Linked DNA regions of Macaca mulatta. Each later gene encodes a partner of the first gene's protein in a complex. Links are inferred from orthologs where the notes say so. Each region holds a gene or a part of one and is shown in the gene's direction. Other genes may lie near its edges.

What was found.
Region 2: the proteins of RAN (region 1) and SIRT2 are in contact, whole or in part, in a crystal structure (PDB 5FYQ), measured with the Homo sapiens proteins. The link is inferred for Macaca mulatta from reciprocal best matches to the Homo sapiens genes RAN and SIRT2. Residues at the interface, in NP_006316.1 of Homo sapiens: Phe35, Glu36, Lys37, Lys38, Tyr39, Val40; in NP_036369.2 of Homo sapiens: Phe96, Arg97, Glu116, Phe119, Gln167, Ile169, His187, Ile232, Val233, Phe234, Phe235, Gly236, Glu237, Ser238, Leu239, Phe244, Gln265, Val266, Gln267, Pro268.
Region 3: the proteins of RAN (region 1) and XPO1 are in contact, whole or in part, in a crystal structure (PDB 7B51), measured with the Homo sapiens proteins. The link is inferred for Macaca mulatta from reciprocal best matches to the Homo sapiens genes RAN and XPO1. Residues at the interface, in NP_006316.1 of Homo sapiens: Lys12, Lys37, Lys38, Tyr39, Val40, Ala41, Leu43, Gly44, Val45, Val47, Trp64, Glu70, Lys71, Gly74, Leu75, Arg76, Asp77, Gly78, Tyr79, Ile81, Gln82, Val96, Pro102, Asn103, Arg106, Arg110, Val111, Glu113, Val124, Asp125; in NP_003391.1 of Homo sapiens: Leu35, Tyr36, His37, Gln43, Arg44, Gln47, Leu50, Thr51, Lys54, Glu55, Asn74, Tyr77, Tyr78, Gln81, Lys124, Val125, Lys129, Met132, Leu173, Glu176, Glu177, Phe181, Gln185, Lys266, Thr269, Glu270, Asp313, Gln316, Asn317, Gln320.

What each region holds. Positions count from the first base shown.
Region 1 is NC_133416.1:138,251,961-138,259,246, forward strand, and holds RAN (GTP-binding nuclear protein Ran), read left to right. Parts: upstream 1-2,572; 5' UTR 2,573-2,604; intron 2,605-3,069; 5' UTR 3,070-3,079; coding exon 3,080-3,115; intron 3,116-3,320; coding exon 3,321-3,405; intron 3,406-3,487; coding exon 3,488-3,613; intron 3,614-5,021; coding exon 5,022-5,209; intron 5,210-6,112; coding exon 6,113-6,283; intron 6,284-6,382; coding exon 6,383-6,427; 3' UTR 6,428-6,788; downstream 6,789-7,286. UniProt on the Homo sapiens protein: GTPase involved in nucleocytoplasmic transport, participating both to the import and the export from the nucleus of proteins and RNAs. Switches between a cytoplasmic GDP- and a nuclear GTP-bound state by nucleotide exchange and GTP hydrolysis.
Region 2 is NC_133424.1:49,983,079-49,990,264, reverse strand, and holds part of SIRT2 (NAD-dependent protein deacetylase sirtuin-2), read left to right. Parts: intron 1-692; coding exon 693-741; exon of another isoform or gene 742-744; coding exon of another isoform or gene 745-745; intron 746-1,034; coding exon 1,035-1,148; intron 1,149-3,373; exon of another isoform or gene 3,374-3,439; coding exon of another isoform or gene 3,440-3,482; intron 3,483-4,437; coding exon 4,438-4,479; intron 4,480-4,619; coding exon 4,620-4,726; intron 4,727-4,835; coding exon 4,836-4,892; intron 4,893-5,426; coding exon 5,427-5,495; intron 5,496-7,186. UniProt on the Homo sapiens protein: NAD-dependent protein deacetylase, which deacetylates internal lysines on histone and alpha-tubulin as well as many other proteins such as key transcription factors.
Region 3 is NC_133418.1:63,244,136-63,251,321, forward strand, and holds part of XPO1 (exportin-1), read left to right. Parts: intron 1-222; coding exon 223-357; intron 358-1,569; coding exon 1,570-1,753; intron 1,754-2,064; coding exon 2,065-2,171; intron 2,172-4,388; coding exon 4,389-4,583; intron 4,584-6,272; coding exon 6,273-6,441; intron 6,442-7,186. UniProt on the Homo sapiens protein: Mediates the nuclear export of cellular proteins (cargos) bearing a leucine-rich nuclear export signal (NES) and of RNAs.

The sequences.
Region 1 (7,286 bases):
TCATTCCAATTTTGGTATACGTGCTACCAAAGTGACCACTCGATTACCTATTCCAATATAATGAAACCCCATCTCTACTAAAAATAAAAAAATAAAAATAAAAAAAATTAGCCGGCTGTGGTGGCGCATGCCTGTAATCCCAGCTACTCAACTAGCTGAGGCAGGAGAATCGCTTGAACCTGGGAGGCGGAAGTTGCAGTGAGCCGAGATCACACCACTGCACTCCAGCCTGAGCGACAGTGAGGCTCTGTCTCAAAAAAAAAAAAAAGAAAGAAAGAAAAATAAAAAACAAAAGAAATAGAATATTGCAAGTAAAGTTAAAGTCTTCTTTGACTCCTCTTCTCAGTTCCATCACACTCCTTTCTACCCTTTCTTGAAGCAGTAACCATCAGGATATGGTATGTATATCCTTGCAATTAAAAAAAATACATATATCCAATAGCCAATATGCTTTTATGTTTTTGTAAAAAACGTACACAAATGACATTATACTATATATATAATCCCTCTAGATAAAGTTACATATAGTGTTAGGCTTTATGTAATAATTTTGGAAACAGGGTCTTACTCTGTCTCCTAGGCTGGGAACTCCTGGGTTTAAGGAATCCTCCTACCTCGGGCTCCCAAAGTGCTGGGATTACAGGTGGCCTAGACTTTATAAAGCTATTATCACCTCTTTCTGCTTTTCTCAACATTATCCTTTTGACGTCTATCTAAACCTGTGGAAACAGACGACCGTCAATCCTTTTAAATGTTATACAGCATTAAATGTTGTGCACATGTGTGAGGCGTGAGTTTAACTCTCGAGCCTCTCCCTAGAAATGGAAATCCACGGTCACAAGCAATGGGCATTCCCGTTTTACTGTTAGATTCTGCTCTCCCGCGAGAGGTGCTTGGCGTTCCCCTGAGGGTTCTGGGGGAGCTCGGACTTGCGTTCCCAGCAGGCCGGTTCTCCCCCGCGTTGTGACCAATTTGCGTCACTGGGGTTCCCAGCGGACTCAAGTGTGCCCAGGACTGCAGGGAGGACTCCTCGGTTACCGGGACTCTTTCACCATGCTGGACTCTTCTAAGGCGCTTGACTGCGCTGATTTGAGCCTTTTTCCGTCTGCATGTCGGCAGGGGCGCCCAGGAAGTCGGGGTCGCTCTAGCTCAACCTTGTTTGGAGTCTTACAGCTTCAGGCCAACACGGGGCTGGGAAGCTGAGCACTTATTCCGTCCGCGTTCGTAACTGGGGCTGGAAGACGCGCCCAGACTGCAAACAAAATTTTATCATTTTGTTTGTAGGACGCAGCGGCCAAGGCTGCCAACCTATGAAACGCTTTGAGAAGCTGGGCGCTTTGGGAGGCCGAGGCGGGTGGATCCCCTGAAGCCAACCTGGGAGACATAGTAAGATCCTGTCCCTAAAAATTAAAAAAAAAAAAAAAAGAAAAAAAATTACCCCGGATGTGGTGCGCGCCTGTAGTCCCAGCTAATTGGGAGGCTGAGGCGGGAGGATCGTTCGAGCCTGGGAGTTCGAGACCAGCCTGGGCAAAATAGCGAGACTCTGTCTCTTTTTTTTTTTTTGAGACTGAGTCTGGCTCTGTCGCCCAGGCTGGAGTGCAGTGGCCGGATCTCTGCTCACTGCAAGCTCCGCCTCCCGGGTTTACGCCATTCTCCTGCCTCAGCCTCCCGAGTAGCTGGGACTACCGGCGCCCGCCACCTCGCCCGGCTAGTTTTTTGTATTTTTTAGTAGAGACGGGGTTTCACCGTGTTAGCCAAGATGGTCTTGATCTCCTGACCTCGTGATCCGCCCGTCTCGGCCTCCCAAAGTGCTGGGATTACAGGCGTGAGCCACCGCACCCGGCCGAGACTCTGTCTCTTAAAAAAAAATAAGTAGCCATTTTCCGGGGTGGGGGCATCCCTCTCTGGTTCCTCGCTCTCCAACTGGCCCTGGTCCTGGGGGCGTGAAGGCTGCGATCTGGAGAGACAGAGCCGCGGGCTGACTCTGGAGGCCCAGCCTAGGATCCCTTCATTCATTCATCCGTTCTGTCACTCACCCGTCCTGCGCGCACGCGAGCGCCATCCTAAGCCCCAGGACCCCAAGTACCCCAACCCCACGGGGCACAGACAAGGACTGGCTGGCCAGCGCCTGGAAGCCGCGTGCCTGACCGCGTCTGCCCAAGCGAGTACCGCCTCCCACCCAAGAGGTAGCACGGCCGCGACAGTCCGGCCGCGCCCAACGACTCCCGCCCAGGGGCGCGCCGCCTCCCTGTCAGCGCATGCGCGCCCCCGAGCCCGCCCTGGGCGCCGGCGCACGTGGCCCCCACGGGCCGGCATGCGTGCGCGCTCCCGGCTCGCCCTCCCACGCGGTCCATCGCGCCTCCCGCCCCACCCTAAGCGCAGCGCCGGCCGCAGCGGCCGACTGAACCAGGTTGCGTGCGTGCGCGCGCGCACGCGCGGGCCACGTGGGCGGGCGCCGTGCCGTTGCCCCGCCCCTTGTCAACCCCGCCCCCGTCGGCCCCGCCCCTGCCCGCGCGCCGGCGTCGGCTGCGTCTCCGGCGTTTGAATTGCGCTTCCGCCATCTTTCCAGCCTCAGTCGGACGGGCGCGGAGACGCTTCTGGAAGGTAGTGAGACGCGGCGGGCCGGGCGGGGGCAGGGCCGGGCGGGGACAGGGGCGGCGGCGGCGGGATAGGGGCCGGAGCCGGGGTCAGGGCCGGGGCAGGTGGCGGGCCCAGGGACAGCGGGCGGCTGTGAGTAGGTGGGTGGCGCGGGCCCGGCCGTGCCGGGGCAGGAGACGGGCATGGGGTCGGCGCCCGCCCCCGCGAACCCCCGTTTCATCCTCCGCTCTCATTCCCGTCCCGGTCTCAGTCCCGTCCCTATCCCGACTCCTCCGTCCGCCGTTCCCCGCGCCCCGCCGCCCCGGATGCCGGCCCCGCCCGCCGCCTTCCCGCTCCGAGGCCCGGCCGCCATGGCGCCGCGGGCGGGAGGCCTTTGTGGGGCGGGCACGTGGGGCGCTGGGGGCGCGGGAGCGGGGCCGCCATGGGCTGCGGGGCCGCGCGAGCGCTCGCCTCCGTCCTCTGCCTCCGCAGGAACGCCGCGATGGCTGCGCAGGGAGAGCCCCAGGTCCAGTTCAAAGTAGGTAACCCTGCGGGGCGGGAGGCGGCCGAGTCCGACCGCGTGCGACTCGCGGGTCCCTCCTCCCGGACCCACGATGGCTGTAACGGGGCCCCGCATCCATATTCTTTGTTTTAAGTGAGCCTGTGATGGTTAAAGTTCCATGACTCTGGGATCTTGAGAGGTGAAGTGTTTTGGGTTTACTTCCAAATGTGTTCTCCAACAGCTTGTATTGGTTGGTGATGGTGGTACTGGAAAAACGACCTTCGTGAAGCGTCATTTGACTGGTGAATTTGAGAAGAAGTATGTAGGTATGTGCAGGAAAACCTTGCTTGTGGAAATACGTGAGAAATGGGTAAATTCATCCACTCAATCATGTCGTTTCCGTTTTAGCCACCTTGGGTGTTGAGGTTCATCCCCTAGTGTTCCACACCAACAGAGGACCTATTAAATTCAATGTATGGGACACAGCCGGCCAGGAGAAATTCGGCGGACTGAGAGATGGCTATTATATCCAAGGTAGGCATTTGTAACTTGCTGAACAGTTTTTGAGAGGTTTTGTGTACTTCAGTTTTCAAGGTTATAGAAAATCAGGTCTGTTCCAACAAATAGTGCTTAATACTGTAATGGGAATTGTGTCATTTCTGGGTTAAAAAAAGACGTGGACTTCAGGGAGTTGACCACCATTTTGGTGGCAGAGGAGAAAATTTTATGAAAGTTGCATGCTGTGTCATGCTAGGCATGGTTTAGAAAAACCTATGACTTACACTGGAACTTATAAGTCATGTTTAAAACAATAACAGGCTGTTAACAGCAGTTTCAGTATTTGAAAACTTTGGTTCTTGTGTGTAGTTTGGTGTGGCGATCAATGAATATTTCTAGTCCATTACAAAGCAACACCAGATACTAGACCAGAGGAGATAGGAGGTCTTAACAAGTGTTATACAAGACTAGCCGATTTCTTGTTAAATTGTTTGTAGTAAGTTGTGCAGAGTATTTTTCTCAAATAGTTTGATTTAAAAATCTCAAGGAAAATGTTCATTGTACCAAAAAGAGAGGAATAAACAAAATACTCATCTCTCCTGGAACCTCACGTTGCTAATAACACATTATCTGGAATCATTCCATGCCTTTTGCTCTTCTTGAACGTGTACATATAAACACAAGAATTTCCCCCCCAAAAAATCCTTTAACCAAAAAGTTGTGGTTTCTTGCCTTACTAACTGTACCATAGTTATTCCTGCAGGTGAGTATATAGACTTTATCTGGGTTATTTAATTTTTTTTTTTTTGAGACAGGGTCTTGTTTTGTTGCCCAACCTGGAGTGCAGCTTCCGCCTCCTAAGCCTCAGCCTCCTGAGTAGCTGGGACTACAGGCACCTGCCACTTTGCCTGACTAATTTTTGTATTTTTTTTTGGTAGGGATGGGGATTCACCATGTTGCCCATGCTGGTCTGGAACTCATGAGCTCAGGTGATCCACCCACCTCAGCCTCTCAAAGTGCTGGGATTACAGGCATGAGCCACATCGCTTGGCCTATCTGGAGTTTTTAAGACAGGAATGATATTTCCTAGTATAGTCGGCCATTTAAAGACTTTCTGAAGACTATTTCCAGGCCCTACCCTCAGAATATGGCAGCTTGGTTCTCCAGAATCTCACTTGGCATTAATTACTTCAGATAGTGTTTTGGGGATGAGGGGAGTATTAATGGTGAAGTTTATCAGGGAGATTTGATAGAATCAGCTCATCTTTCTTAGGAAGAGTTCTGTGTTAATGTTCTTAGAATTGAAAGAGACTTTGAAAGTGAGGGGAGAGATCTAGGTGCCTTGTTGAGGTCTAAGACTATAGTTGAATCCTAGTCTGCGGTTCTTAGCATTCTTCACTTGTGTGGTAAACAGTGTACTAATTACCGCAACTGTTTCTTTCAGCCCAGTGTGCCATCATCATGTTTGACGTAACATCGAGAGTTACTTACAAGAACGTGCCTAACTGGCATAGAGATCTGGTGCGAGTGTGTGAAAACATCCCCATTGTGTTGTGTGGTAACAAAGTGGACATTAAGGACAGGAAAGTGAAGGCGAAATCCATTGTCTTCCACCGAAAGAAGAATCTTCAGGTGTGTAAAATTAAAACTTCCTGAGTTATTTCTCTTAGCGGAGATTGTATGTAAGACCATGAAATTGACCAGTGTCTATTATATATGGAAATGATTTTTTTTCTCCCAAGATGGAGTCCCGCTCTGTCCCCCAGGCTGGAGTGCAGTGACGCAATCTGGGCTCGCTGCGACCTCCGCCTCCCGGGTTCAAGCAGTTCTCCTGTCTCAGCTCCCCTAGTAGCTGGATTAAAGGCATGTACCACCACGCCTGGCTAATTTTTGTACTTTTTTTTTTTTTTTTTTTTTTTTTTAGTAGAGACGGGGTTTCACCATGTTGGTCAGGCTGATCTCCGACTGCTGACCTTAAGTGATCCACTTGCCTTGGCCTCCTGAAGTGCTGGGATTACAGGCATGAGCCACTGTGCTGGCAGGAAATAATTTTGTCTTTTTTTATACTATTGTTTTTAAAGAATGATAGAGATGGGGTTTCACTGTTGTCTGGGTTGGTCAACTGAGATACGTGTGTGTATTTATATATTCTTTGTTTTTTGAGACAGGGTCTTCCCCTGTTGCCCTGGCGGGAGTGCAGTGTCATGAACATAGCTCACTGCAGCCTTGAACTCCTGGGCTCAAGCAGTCCTCCCACTTCAGCCTTCTGAGTAGCTGGGACCACAGGCATTCAAGACCATGCCCACCTAATTTGTTTTTTTGTAGAGATGGGGTCTTGCTCTGTTGCCCAGGCCTGATCTTGTACTATTGGCCTCAGGCAGTCCTCCCACCTCAGCCCCCCCGCAAAGTGCTGGGATTACAGGCATGAGCCACCATGCCTTGCCAAGAATCTTAACATTTTCTTGTCTTGCCATGTCCTAGAAAAATCGTCATCTTAATGAATTTTAAAAGGTAAAATTATTTTCTTTTAAACAGTACTACGACATTTCTGCCAAAAGTAACTACAACTTTGAAAAGCCCTTCCTCTGGCTCGCTAGGAAGCTCATTGGAGACCCTAACTTGGAATTTGTTGCCATGCCTGCTCTTGCCCCACCGGAAGTTGTCATGGACCCAGCTTTGGCAGCGCAGTATGAGCACGACTTAGAGGTATTACGGCCACTTTGCTGTCTAGGCTATAACGTTTGACTTGTATATTCCTGGCAGTTTTGATCTGGAGTGTTAACATTTTTTCATCTCTTCGTCTAGGTTGCTCAGACAACTGCTCTCCCGGATGAGGATGATGACCTGTGAGAATGGAGCTGGAGCCCAGCGTCAGAAGTCTAGTTTTATAGGCAGCTGTCCTGTGATGTCAGCGGTGCAGCGTGTGTGCCACCTCATTATTATCTAGCTAAGCGGAACATGTGCTTCATCTGTGGGATGCTGAAGGAGATGAGTGGGCTTCGGAGTGAATGTGGCAGTTTAAAAAATACCTTCATTGTTTGGACCTGCATATTTAGTTGTTTTGGAACGCGGTTGATTCCTTGAGTTTCAAATATAAGACTGCTACAGTCACATCACAATATTCAGTGGTGAAATCTTGTTTTGTTACTGTCATTCCCATTCCTTTTCGTTTAGAATCAGAATAAAGTTGTATTTCAAATATCTAAGCAAGTGAACTCATCCCTTGTTTATAAATAGCATTTGGAAATCGCTAAAATAGGGAAATTTTATGCCATGTTAATATTTGAATTGCCTTGCTATTATCGCTTAATTTGAAATCTATTGGGTTAATTTCTCCCTATGTCTACTTTTTATTTTTGTACATTTGAGCCATGTCACACAAACTGATTATGGCAGATCAGCAGTATTCTATTTGGTTAGAAGGGTCACATGGTGTAAATATTAGTGCAGTTAAGCTAAAGCAATGTTTGCTCCACCTTCATTTTGGCTAGGTAGGGTCACCTAGGGAAGAACTTGCTCAAAATTTGTGACCTGTCAGAATAAAAAATAATGTGGTTTGTATATATGAAATAGATATTTTAAGGGTAATACTTTTGTTTTATGGCAAAAGTAATCATGTTTTAATGTAGAACTTCAAACAGGATGGAATATCAGTGGATGGCAGGAGCTTGGGAATTCTTGCTGTTAAGTACAAATTTTGCACTTTTTG
Region 2 (7,186 bases), on another chromosome or scaffold:
GGGAAGACCCCAGGCTGTGATAATATTAACAGCAACAGCCAGCGCTTACCGAGCACCTTCCCCGCTCCTGGTGCCGCACCCAGCACCCACACTCCCTTTCCAAGGTGAGGGACACCCAGACTTAGAAAATCAGAGTCACAGCCAGGCACAGTGGCACACGCCTGTAATCTCAGCACTTTAGGAGGCCGAGGCAGGAGACTTGCTTGAGCCCAGGAGTTCAAGGCCACCCTGGGCAACACAGGGAGACCTTGTCTCTACAAAAACACAAACAAAACAAGATTAGCCTGGCGTAGTGCATGCGCCTGTGGTCCCAGCTACTTGGGAGGCTGAGGTAGGAGGATCCCTTGAACTTGGGAGGTTGAGGCTGCAGTGAGCTGTGACTGCGCCAGTGCACCCCAGCCTGGGTGACAGAGCGAGACACTGTCTCAAAAAAAAGAAAGAAAGAAAGAAAGAAAAGAAAAGCGAAGCCACTCCCATGAGGTTGTGCTCCTGGGGACTGGCATGGCCAGGACTCCAACCCAGGCAGCCTGTCCCAGAGCCCTCGAGCTAGCCCCAGTGCAGTCTCTCCACCACCCCACACTTCCTCAGGCCACCTTCCTGCCACAGCCTTTTCCCCAAACCTGGTATCACCCCCTCCCCTCCCTCCCTAATCCCACCTCTCGGGCCTGGCCACCCCACCTCACCCCTTCCAGGACTCAGATTCAGACTCTGAGGGAGGAGCCGCTGGTGGAGAAGCAGACAGTGAGTATCTTCCTCGAAGGATGGGGAGCAGGGTTCTGGGGGGCGGGGGGATTTCAGGGCAGGGGTGTGGGTGATACCTCCTCAACTCCATCAGGAGTGACATTCAAAGTATGTAACAGTGGGTCGGGTACCAGTGCCAGAGCAGGCTCCTGGAGGCTCCTGGCTGGGCCAGGCCTCGTGCCTTTAGATGTGGGGAGGCCGGGGACCCCAGGGCTGGGGCCAGGGTGCTGGAGACATCCATGCCCCCTGGCTGAATGCCCGGTCCTGCCGCTGTGTCTCTTCTCTCTGGCCAGTGGACTTCCTGCGGAACTTATTCTCCCAGACGCTCAGCCTGGGCAGCCAGAAGGAGCGTCTGCTGGACGAACTGACCTTGGAAGGGGTGGCCCGGTACATGCAGAGCGAACGCTGTGAGTCCCCTGTCAGGATTGGGCCACTGTGCCCAGCTCCTGGCCTCAAGTGACCTCCCATCCCCAGCCACTTGAACCATGTATTGAAACCTTTTCTTTACAAGTAGCAAGAAACACAACTGGAACCGGCTTAAGCCAAAGAGGAGTGTGTTGGCTCTAATCCAGCTTGAAGCACGGCTGGGCCTAGGTGCTTCCACTTTGTTAAAAATCGTAACTCTCTCTGATGCTGCTTTTCTTGTGTCGGGGTAAAGGTAACTCCTGGCAGTTCCAAATGCAGGTTCCACCAACCTAGGAGCTGCCACCGAGAGAGCACCTTTTCCCAGTAGTTCAAACCAAACAGCAGAGATTCGCTCCCACTGAGCCAGGTTGAGTCACGTGCCTGCCCCCAAGTCTCCGATTGGCCAGACCTGGGTCGCTTCTCCATTGCTGAGTGAATTACTGTACGCTGACTGACCAGGCCTGTTTCATAAAATGGGGATAATGATTATGGTATCTAACTCATAAGGTTATTGGGGGACTAAATAAATTAATATAGGACCAGGTGCAGTGGCTCATGTATGTAATCTCAGCACTTTGGGAGGCCATCGCGGGAGAATCACTCAACACCAGGCATTCAAGACCAGCTTGGGCAACATAGTGAGACCCCCCCATCTCTACAAGAAAAAAAATAGCCAGATGTGGGGGCGTTGCCTGTAGTCTTAGCTACTCAGGAGGCTGAGAAGGGAGGATTGTTTGAGCCCAGGAGTTGGAGGCTGCAGTGAGCTATGATGGCACCACTGCACTGCAGCCTGGGCAACACAGTGAGACCCTGACTCTAAAAAATAAATAAATAAATAAAATTTTAAAAATAAATTAATAAAAATGCAAATGCTTAGAGCAGAGTCTGGAACATAGCGAGAGCTGTGGCAGCGTGTGCCGTGGTTATTACTACAGGAGGCTTGTTTCAGATATGGTGGATAGGTGTCTACTTACTGAGTCACCATGAAATTTATATTTCTTTTTTTTTTTTTTTTTTTTTTTTTTTTTTTTTTTTTTTGAGATGGAGTCTTGCTTTGTTGCCCAGGCTGGAGTGCAGTGGAGTGGCACAATCTCAGCTCACTGCAACCTCCGCCTCCTGGGTTCCAGCAATTCTCCTGCCTCAACCTCCCAAGTAGCTGGGATTACAGAAGCACACCACCACGCCTGGCTAATTTTTTTATTTCAGTAGAGACGGGGTTTCACCATGTTGCCCAGGCTGGTCTCAAACTCCTGAGCTCAGGCAATCCACCCTCCTCAGCCTCCCAAAGTGCTAGGATTACACGCGTGAACCACCCCGCCTGGCCTGAAATTTATATTTCTTGCCATGAGTTGAGGTCACCGAAGTCTGAGAAACCAGGCCCTCAGCAGTCCTCAACTAGAACAATCGACCCTTTGTGGTTCCTGAGCAGCCTTTTGTTGAGGACGTCTTCTCCAGTGTCCCTGTCCTCCAGCTGCCACCATCTCTCTCCTCGGGCAGCCAGGCCTGCTGCCCTGAGCCTCCCTCTCCTGCGGCAGGCAAGCAGCTGTCTGCAGCCATCTTTTAGCATGGGCAGGCCCCAAAGACAACACAGGCAGTGGCTACAAAGCATTTGTTCCTTGTGTCCTCCTGCTCCTGGATTCTGGGGTAATTGGCTCATGAGGGTGCCCATGAGGAGATAGTAATGAACAATAACAATTAATTGAGGCTGGGCGTGGTGGTTCAGGCCTATAATCCCAGCATTTGGGGAGGTAGAAAGCAGGAAGATCGCTTGAGGCCAGGAGGTCAAGACCAGCTGGGGCAACAAGCAAGACCCCTTCTCTGCAAAAATATAAAGGTGAGGCTCCAACCCTCACCTAACCGCTCTAAAGCTTTATTTATTTATGTATTTATTTTTTTGAGACGGAGTCTCACTCTGTTGCCCAGGCTGGAATGCAGTGGCGCTATCTTGACCCACTGCAACCTTCGCCTCCCAGGTTCAAGCAATTCTCCTGCTTTAGTCTCCCAAGTAGCTGGGACTACAGGCGCCTGCCACCACGCCCAGCTAATTTTTGTACTTTTAGTAGAGGCAGGGTTTCAGCATATTGGCCAGGCTGGTCTTGAACTTCTGACCTCAGGTGATCTGACCCCCTTCGGCCTCCCAAAGTGCTGGGATTACAGGTGTGAGCCACCAGGCCCAGCCCTAAAAATTTCTTTTTAACTACTTAATTGAGCCTTCACTATTTGCCAGGCACTGGGCTCAGCACTTTACAAGTGTCCTATTATTTGATCTTCACATTATACCCATAAGACCATTATGGAAGTGATCTGGACACAGGAGGAAACGGAGGCACAAAAAGGTAGTGACTCAGTGCAGGGTCAAACAGCTGCCAAGTGGCAGAGGCAGGATTTGACCCCAGGTCCCCTGAATCCAGACCATATATAGCCACCACTGGATTCAACCAGGCCTGGCCCGATGGCATCTCAGAGTTAAAGCTCAGGGCTGAAGCTGTGGCAGGCTTTGTGCTCTGTTCACCTTTGCTGTACTCCCTTGGACAGGGTATCCCAGAGGCATCTGACCCACAGCATGTCACACTTGTGCCTGTCTATCAGCTGATGGGCAGATGCCAGAGTACTATGGCCTGGTGGCTAATCACCAGCCACCAGCTATTTCTGTTTAGCCCTGGGCTCTTATCCTCAAGTGGCCTTTTCTCAAGTCTAAGTTGGTATAATTTCCAACAGTGGATTCTTTTTTTTCCCCCCTTTTTTTGAGATGGAGTCTTGCTCTGTCACCCAGGCTGGAGTGCAATGGCATGATCTTGGCTCACTGCAACCTCCACCTCCTGGGTTCAAGTGATTCTCCTGCCTCAGCCTCCCAAGTAGCTGGGATTACAGGCACGTGCCACCACTCCCAGCTAATTTTGTATTTTCAGTAGAGACGGGTTTTCGCCATGTTGGCCAGGCTGCTCTCAAACTCCTGACCTCAGGTGACCCGCCTACCTCAGCCTCCCAAAGTTCTGGGATTACAGGCATGAACCACCGCACCCAGCCAAACACTGGATTCTTTATCCTCTGGCTGGCTCTTCCGCAGTCCATTGTGTGACTTCTTCCCCTATCTGAGCCCCAGTTTGCTCGTTTATAGAATGGGGATGTTAACACCATCCCTCTCTAGATGATTGGAAGGCCCATCATGCATCTGAGATGCTTGCCCCAGGGCCTGGCATGGAGTAAACGGTGTCAGGGGCCGTGATGGGTGGTGCTATTATAGGGACTGAGCAAACAGTGTCATATGGTGCATAAGTTCCTCTCCTCCAGGTCGCAGAGTCATCTGTTTGGTGGGTGCTGGAATCTCCACATGTAAGTAACCCTACTCCCCAGCAACCACCCCCAGGAATTGGGGAGTCCCTCCCAAGGGCTGGGGAGGAGCCCTGTCTGAGGCCTGTCCTGGGAGAGTTAGTAGGGTATAGACCAACTGCTCCCTGACCCCCCTCTCCCAGCTGCGGGCATTCCCGACTTTCGCTCTCCATCCACTGGCCTCTATGACAACCTAGAGAAGTACCATCTTCCCTACCCAGAGGCCATCTTCGAGATCAGCTATTTCAAGGTTTGTGTTCCCCCAGGAAGGGGCGTCTGTGAGGGGTGGGATGGGGGTCACCTGGCTCCAACCCTCGTCCTACCTGGGGCATCTGGCCCTCTGGCTGTCTCTCCTACAGAAACATCCGGAACCCTTCTTCGCCCTCGCCAAGGAGCTCTATCCTGGGCAGTTCAAGGTGAGATCTTTTTTTTGCAGGGGGCAAAACAGGAAAGGTTGGGGGAGGGCACGCATGGGAAGCGCCCCCAGGGCCCTGCAGACAAATATTATGTAGCCATTAAGTACATGGGTGCTGGGCCCAGACTGCCTGCATTCGTGTCCTGGTTCCTCATGTCTTCATCTTACGACCTTGAGCCTCCGATTTGCCTCCTGTGAAGCGAAGCTGATGGTACTGTCTGAAGAGGGCTGCTGCGAGGCTTAGCTGCACCCATGATGCGGTGGAGAGCCCGGGACCCTGCAGCCAGGCTGCCTGGGTGCGAATCGCAGCTTTGCAGCTTACCCACCATGTGACTTTGGCGACACAGTCCCCTTCCCTGTCCTTCAGTTTCCTCATCTGTGATCTGGGGATAGTGGTGGTCTCTCCCCAACACGGCTGCTTTGCTTATTCCCTGGGGGTAAGACAGTCGCAGTGCCTAGAACAGTTCCTGGCGCATGGTAGTGGCCTGTGGCTGTTCCCTGCAATGATCAGCAGTGCTGTCGTTCTTCCCTGCAGCCGACCATCTGTCACTACTTTATGCGCCTGCTGAAGGACAAGGGGCTGCTCCTGCGCTGCTACACGCAGGTAGGCGGATGCGAGCATCCTGGGAAGAGGATGGGCGGGTGGAACAGGCATGGTGTCCTCAGCGGAGGAGCAGAGCTGCGTGCCCAAGAGCTCAGGCAGGGACTCCAGCAATGCAGGGCCAGGGCTTGGCCTACTGCGTCCTTGCTGCATGACCTGCAGTGAGTCAGGTCTTCTCTGCCTCAGTTTCCCCTTCTGTCAAACACGGTTTGCCCTCTCAGGTCTGCAGTGAAGTGGCAGTGACCTCCTCTCAGGGCCATCCCGTGTGTGATGTGAAAGGAGCCCATGGCTGAAGGGACTCTGTGTGCACTATAGGCACCCCAGATTTCACACTGGTTATGAGGGTGTTTCCAAAGTGACTTCATCTAAGAAAATCCATACACTATGACAGGCGTCCAACAAGTAGATGTCTGCCTTAAGGAAGGGACACCTTTTTATACTTTTTTTGTGCTTTGCCCAATTATAAACATGGCTCGGACATGTCAGGTGCTTAGCCGAGGGCCTCTCCCTGGGGCATTCAAGCAAGGATGGCTCACATTGTTGGAGAGTCTCACAAACCCTAACAGTAAAAAAATCTTGATGGGCTGGGCACAGTGGCTCACACCTGTAATCCCAGCACTTTGGGAGGCCAAAGCGAGAGATCACTTGAGCCTAGGAGTTCGGGACCAGCCTGGGCAACATAGGGAGACCCTGTCTCTACAAGAAATACCAAAATTAGCTGGGCAGGGTAGTGTGTGTTTGTAGTGCCATCTACTCAGGAGGCTAAGGTGGAGGGACTGCTTGAGTTCAGGAAGTCAAGACTACAGTGAGCCGCGATGGTGCCACTGTACTGTAGCCAGGGAGACCTGGTTTGAAAGAAACAAAAAACAAATCAAAACAACAACAAAATGTTGCTGCCTCTACCTGTTTTATGAATATGTATAGAAATTACATGATGCACTACAACAGTATTCATTCAAGCTCTAGATCACACCTCAGAACCCTGAATTACAAAACAGGTGGCTGGACACAGTGGCTCACACCTGTAATCCCAGCACTTTGGGACGCTGAGGTGGGCAGATCACGAGGTCAGGAGTTCGAGACCAGCCTGTCCAACATCATGAAATCTCGTCTCTATTAAAAATACAAAAATTAGCCGGGCGTGGTGGCGCCTGTAACCCCAGCTACTCGGGAGGCTGAAGCAGGAGAATCGCTTGAACCCGGGAGGCGGAGGTTGTAGTGAGTCGAGATTGTGCCACTGCATTCCAGCCTGGGTGACAGAGCGAGACTCCATCTCAAAAAAAAACCAGAGGGGTAACATTGAACATAAATAAGTGTTCTAGTGTTTCTCCCTGCACCTGGCAGTTCGGCACCTGCAGCCCCGAAAGCTACCACCAGAGGGAGGAACAACTCGCTTTAGATTCAGAGTTCTCAGGTGGGCCAGGTGTTCCCGCCTGGGGCTGCTGGGAGGCAGAGGGCAGGGGAGGCCTCCTTCTTCCAAGAGGAGGAGTCCTGTGATCCCAGCACTCGGGGAGGGCAAGGTGGGAGATCGCTTGAGCCCAGGAGTTCAGGACCAGCCTGGGCAACATAGGGAGACTCCGGGCTCAGAATAAACCTTCTTCCCAGAGAGTCACCATTATTCCAGGACGTGGCTCAGATATGATAACAGCTCACTCGAAGCCAAGTGCTTTCTGTGGTTGATGTCATGACACCCA
Region 3 (7,186 bases), on another chromosome or scaffold:
GTTTCACCACGTTGGTCAGGCTGGTCTGCAACTCCTGAACTCAAGTGATTGGCCTGCCTCAGCTTCTCAAAGTACTGGGATTACAGGAGTGATCCCCACCGCACCTGGGCCAAAATCAGTTTCAAGATATTTGAGTTGCTTGTGTGTGAATTGCTTGTGTGTGGTTTTCCTTATTAGGGTGTATAAGAACATAAAAGTTAAAATGTCTGCTTTTTAAAATAGGTTCATACGTTTTATGAAGCTGTGGGGTACATGATTGGTGCACAAACAGATCAAACAGTACAAGAACACTTGATAGAAAAGTACATGTTACTCCCTAATCAAGTGTGGGATAGTATAATCCAGCAGGCAACCAAAGTAAGTATTCTACTTTTTCTTAAAGTTTTCATGGGATTTAAGAAGACTGTGTTCCTTACAAATATATTGAATTCAAGCCTTTAAACATGTATGTGTGATCCGTAAGTGCTTTTATGTGTGGCTTTGTACATTTTATTATCTGGGCCAGGCGTGGTGGCTCACGCCTGTAATCCTAGCACTTTGGGAGGCTGAGGCGGGCGGATCACCTGAGGCCAGAAGTTCGAGATCAGCCTAGCCAGCATGGCAAAACCCCATCTCTACTAAAAATACAGAAATTAGCTGGGCTTGGTGGCACATGCCTGTAATCCCAGCTACTCAGGAGGCTGAGGCAGGAGAATCACTTGAACCCAAGAGGCAGAGGTTGCAGTGAGCCGAGATCGAGCCTCTGTACTCTAGCCTAGTCGACAGAGCAAGACTCCATCTCAAAAAAAAACCTGAAAATCTGGGCCGGGCGCGGTGGCTCACGCCTGTAATCCCAGCACTTTGGGAGGCCGAGTCAGGCAGATCACAAGGTCAGGAGCTCCAGACCATCCTGGCTAACACAGTGAAACTCCGTCTCTACTAAAAGTACAAAAATTAGCTGGGCGTGGCACCGGGCACCTGTAAGTCCCAGCTGTGCTCAGGAGGCTGAGACAGAATGGCGTGAACCCAGGAGGCAGAGCTTGCAGTGAGCCAAGATCACGCCACTGCACTCCAGCCTGGGCGAATAAACGAGACTCCGTCTCAAAAAATATTTTACTTCATTCTTAGGTAGATATGGACAAAAAGGCTTTTGTGTTCGTTTTTACCATTTGGGATTATAAATATGATTTAGGGTAAGGGAAGTGTAATGGCTTTTGTTTCAGTAATTATGTGGATAATTTTTTTTTTTTTTTTGAGACGGAGTTTCACTCTTGGTGCCCAGGCTGTAGTGCAATGGCATGATCTCAGCTCGCTGCAGCCTCTGCCTCCCAGGCTCAAGGAATTCTCCTGCCTCAGCCTTCCAAGTAGCTGGGATTACAAACAAGCGCCACCATGCCTGGCTGATTTTGTATTTTTAGTAGAGAGAGGGTTTCTACATGTTGGTCAGGCTGGTCTTGAACTCCCGACCTCAGGGTGATGTGCCTGACTCAGCCTCCCAAAGTGCTGGGATTATAGGTGTGAGCCACCTCACCTGGCCATTATGTGGATAATTCTTACATGATAAATGGAATTTGCTTTTTTTTCTCCAAGAATGTGGATATACTGAAAGATCCTGAAACAGTCAAGCAGCTTGGTAGCATTTTGAAGACAAATGTGAGAGCCTGCAAAGCTGTTGGACACCCCTTTGTAATTCAGCTTGGAAGAATTTATTTAGATATGCTTAATGTATACAAGTGCCTCAGTGAAAATATTTCTGCAGCTATCCAAGCTAATGGTAGGTGATTCTGATTTCTTATACGATGCAGTATAAACACTTCTCTTCTACTGCCTCAAGTCAAACATTTGATATTTTTCACAGATTTAAATTAGACCTCCCATTTCCCAGATGACCCTACACATATTTAAAATAGTTATGTGTACCTTTCCCTTTTAAAATTAGTCTTAAAGCTTATTTTCCCAATAAATCTTGTGTAGTTTTGGCTTTAAACTTTTTAATGGTAAAATGGAATTGCATCTAATGTACACCTGAGTACCGCTGTATAATTTTAGTGGTAAAATTAGATTCCATTTGATTCAATTTTGTAGGTGAAATGGTTACAAAGCAACCATTGATTAGAAGTATGCGAACTGTAAAAAGGGAAACTTTAAAGTTAATATCTGGTTGGGTGAGCCGATCGAATGATCCACAAATGGTAAGTGAGAGATGCTTTGCTTTTGGTTTTTAGTGTTGATGCTGTGTTTTATGGAGTGTGCTATACTCTATTATGTGCATTTTGCTAATTTAAAGCATATCAACTTTGTAGTTATTTTATGGCATTTTATTTATTGTAGTCCTTAATGTTAATATACTGTATTCCATCTTCAAAAGAAACTGCTGTTAATCAATAGCGAAGGGTGGTGATATGTAACAAGATAGCTAAGAAAATTGGGTCATTTTATGTTTCCATAGATAGGTCAGGAGGATTTAGTTAATGGAGTACGGGTGCAGTTTTTGCATTCCTCTTGATTTTTGGAACAATTACTAGAGCTACAAAGTTGTCATTACTTTACCTCTTTGGCAAAGTGATTGCTTCCCAGATTAAAGGCTTGAAAGTCTTTTTTACACTCTTTTTCTTAAATGATTTGCAGAAAAGGAAATCATTTTCAGTAATAAAAACCAGCTGCGTATGCCTCAACTTGTAAAATTGTGAATTACTTTTAGGTGTTAACTGTATGGTTTCATTCTTTTTATTCACTTGAGCCTTGGGAGATTCCAAAAAATTCTATTCTGATACTACTACTAGTTGGAATAGTGGGTTTTTTTTGTTTTTCTTTAACAAGTGTGCTAGTTATTTTAATAATTTTGGAATTTCAGTATTGTTTCTTGTTAAGGAAATACTTTTCAGTAAACTTGTTCTGAATATAATTCTCATGGAATACTTAAGTTGGCTAACCTAAATATCGAAAGGTTCTGAACATGTGTATTATGTGATCAGAACTGTATTTAAAATGTGAAAGCAGAATGTAAGATGTATTGAAGGAATTGTGATGCTTGTAGTTTACAAGAAGCTTGGGCACATGTCAGGAGCACAGTGGGAATAATACAAAGGGGTATCATATTTTATAAGTAACATTAATGATAAAGTTTGGGATATTTGTTCACATGAAACATTACATTTATTTTTCTTGTCTTGGCTTGTCACGGTGACTCATGCCTGTAATCCCAGCATTTTGGGAGGCCGAGGTCGGTGGATCCCTTGAGGTCAGGAGGCTGAGGCAGGAGAATCGCTTGAACCCAGGAAGGTGGTGGCAGTGAGCCTAGATCGCACCATTGCACTCCAGTCTGGGCAACAAGTGCGAAACTTCATCTCAAAAAAAAAAAAAAAAAAAGAACAAGAAGTTACTCATTAAGTATAACTGAGTTTACTTAGAACCATGAAAATCCTACTGGGCATCGTAGCATGCACCTGTAATCCCAACCACTAGGGAGGCTGAGGCAAGAGAATCGCCCCAGCTCTTCAAGTCCAGTTTAGGCAACACGGCAATATTCAGTTTCAAAAAAATAATAGAAATCCATAGTCTTTCTTATTTTCTGAGAGTAATTGATTGATGTTATTTCTGCTTGTGAAAATACAGTTAGCATTCATTAGATTAAAACATTATTCTGAGTTGGGCAGATCATGAGGTCAGGAGATGGAGACCACTCTGGCTAACCTCGTGAAACACCTTGTCTCCACTAAAAATACAAAAAAATTAGCTGGGCATGGTGGCAGGTGCCTGTAGTCCCAGCTACTCGATAGGCTGAGGTAGGAAAATGGCATGAACCTGGGAGGTGGAGCTTGCAGTGAGCTGAGATGGCACCACTGCACTCCAGCCTGGGCGACAGAGCGAGACTCCCTCTTAAAAAAAAAAAAAAAAAAAAGACATTATTGAGGGCTCGCTTGCTGCCGTCTTACATATACAGTATACATTGAATCCTGATTGTGCCACACTAACTTGGAGCCACCAATTGAATTTTGAGCCTCACTTTCCTTATTATAAGAGTTTTGTAGCTGGGCATGATGCTATACCTGTAGTCCCAGCTACTCAGGAGACTGAGGCACAAGAATTGCTTAAACCTGGGAGGTGGAGGTTGCAGTGAGCAGAGATTTGCCACTGCACTCTGGTCTGAGTTGACAGTGAGACTGTCTCAAAAAAAAAAAAAAAGTTTTGAATGACACTGTTTCCATGAGACTTCCCAACCCATTGTGATTTCCTGCTTTCTTTTGCTAAAAACTGTTTTAACGTAGGAAAACCTAATACAAACACAAGATTTTCCTATTTTCAGTAGATAATCATGCTACGTCTTACAGACACGAATAACCTTGTTGTTTAAAATAGTCACCACGTACCTAGATTAAAACATAACTTTTTTTTTCCCTCCTCAACAGGTAGCTGAAAATTTTGTTCCCCCTCTGTTGGATGCAGTTCTCATTGATTATCAGAGAAATGTCCCAGCTGCTAGAGAACCAGAAGTGCTTAGTACTATGGCCATAATTGTCAACAAGTTAGGGGGACATATAACAGCTGAAATACCTCAAATATTTGATGCTGTTTTTGAATGCACATTGAATATGATAAATAAGGTGTGTAATATTTCAGTTATGTACGGGGAAAATTCTAGCGGATAGCCTTAATTCTTGAAGGCTAAAGTATATCTATGGATATAACATAATTTTAATGCCATGGAGCTTAAATATTTATACTTGTATATTAGGGAAATACTTTTTTTGTTTTCAAGAACTTCCCAGGAGTTTGAAACCAACCTGGGCAATATAGTGAGACTTCATCTCTACAAAAAGTTAAAAAATTAACCAGTCATGGTGGCATGTGCCTGTAGTCCCAGCTACTGAAGTGGCTGAGCGACAGTGACACTGAAGTGGGAGGATTACTTGAGCCTGGGAGTTCAACGTGGCAGTTTGCTGAGATCATGCTACTGCACTCTAACATGGGCAACAGAGTCAGACCATTTCTTAAAAAAGAAGAATTTACTACACAGAATCTTGATTGGTAAAAAGTAAATGTGGAAAATAGATTTTAACATTCACATGGTATGTAGCATTTATTGAAACCTCATAGCAGGTCGGGGCATCCTTTTATGAACGTAGTTAGTTTGAATACATGAGAAAGTCTGCATGATTCAATTATAAAAGTGTAGTATATGCTTATAAGAAACCGAAAAATGTATTAATCAACAAGAGAAAATAGGCTGGGAATGGTGGCTCACACCTGTCATCCCAGCACTTCAGAAGGCCAAGGCAGGCAGATGACGTGAGGTCAGAAGTTCAAGACCAGTCTGGCCAACATGGCATTAAAAATACAAGGCCGGGCGCGGTGGCTCAAGCCTGTAATCCCAGCACTTTGGGAGGCCGAGACGGGCGAATCACGAGGTCAGGAGATCGAGACCATCCTGGCTAACACAGTGAAACCGCGTCTCTACTAAAAAAAATACAAAAAACTAGCCGGGCGAAGTGGCGAGCGCCTGTAGTCCCAGCTACCCGGGAGGCTGAGGCAGGAGAATGGCGTGAACCCGGGAGGCAGAGCTTGCAGTGAGCCGAGATCGCGCCACTGCACTCCAGCCTGGGTGACAGAGCGAGACTCTGTCTCAAAAAAAAAAAAAAAAAATACAAAAATGGCCAGGCGCGGTGGCCCATGCCTGTAATCCCAACAGTTGGGAGGCCGAGGCCGGTGGATTGCCTGAGATCAGGAGTTCAAGACCGCCCTGATCAACATGGTGAAACCCCGTCTCTACTAAAAAACAAAAATTAGCTACTCGGGAGGCTGAGGCAAGAGAATCGCTTGAACCCAGGAGGCGGAAGTTGCGGTGAGCTGAAATTGCACCACTGCACTCCAGCCTGGGCGACAGAGCAAGACTCTGTCTCCAAAAAAAAAAAAAAAGCGAGAGATAAAAGAAATGGTAAGTGGACACATTCACATGGTAACTTAAATTTTTTCGTAATCTGTAGTGGTGGTTTCAAATTAAAAACAAAAGTGATAGTAGTAGTGTTACGGTAATAATGGTTTTGATGAGTTCTCTATTAATAAGGATAGCTTTCTCTTTCAATTTGATAACTCATGTGCGTAACAGGGAACAGTTTCATTTTCCATGGGAGGTGGATTGTATTTTGTTTGGGTTTATCTTTCAGGAGGCATTATATCTTCTATGGTTTATTGAAAACTCCAAACATTTTTACTGGATTAAGCCTTGCTTTTCCCCTCCTGCTAGCACAGCGAAGACACTGAAACATTATTTTGTTTCCACCACTTATTTTTAGGACTTTGAAGAATATCCTGAACACAGAACGAACTTTTTCTTACTACTTCAGGCTGTCAATTCTCATTGTTTCCCAGCATTCCTTGCTATTCCACCTACACAGTTTAAACTTGTTTTGGATTCCATCATTTGGGCCTTCAAACATACTATGAGGAATGTCGCAGATACGGGTAAATAAATTTAAAAGATGTTCTTTTATTCATTTGCCTGTCAATCCAAAAATACAAATATAGATAGTTATATACTTGTACATAGGAAGGTATTACTTGTTCAGAGTTTTGAATGCATGAATTACATATATGAACATCTGAGAAAATCCTATAAGCAGTTTAATCAACTGTTCCACTGCACTCCAGGTGAGTCCATAGGCAGAATTGAGTTATGGGAGAGGGGCCTAGTAATAATTGGTTTATGTAATACCAAATTCTACTGAGTAGTGATGTTGTAGAAGTTCATACAGAATCAGCTAAGCTTTCAGAAATGGTGAAAGGGTGGTAATGGTCGTAACTTAGATTATAATTTTTCTCCATAGGCTTTTTTTTTTAATATTCACAAATTTTTTTTTTAATTTCAATAGTTTTGGGGCAACTGGTGATTACATGAATAAAGTCTTTAATGGTGATTTCTGAGATTTTGGTGCACCCATCAGCCGAGCAGTAGGAACTCTACCTTATGTGTAGTCTTATCCCTCACCCCCTCCCACCCTTCCCCACAAGTCCCCAAAGTCCATTATATGATCTTTATGCCTTTACATCTTCATAGTTTAGCTCTCACATAACTTAGATTATAATTTATAAGTAAGCCAGCATTGGATATAGTTGTACTCCATTATCAATTTAAGAAACCTTAGGCAAGTAATTATTAGTCATCATCCCCAAAAAAAGGGAGAATAGGGTTAGATTCAGAATACTTTGA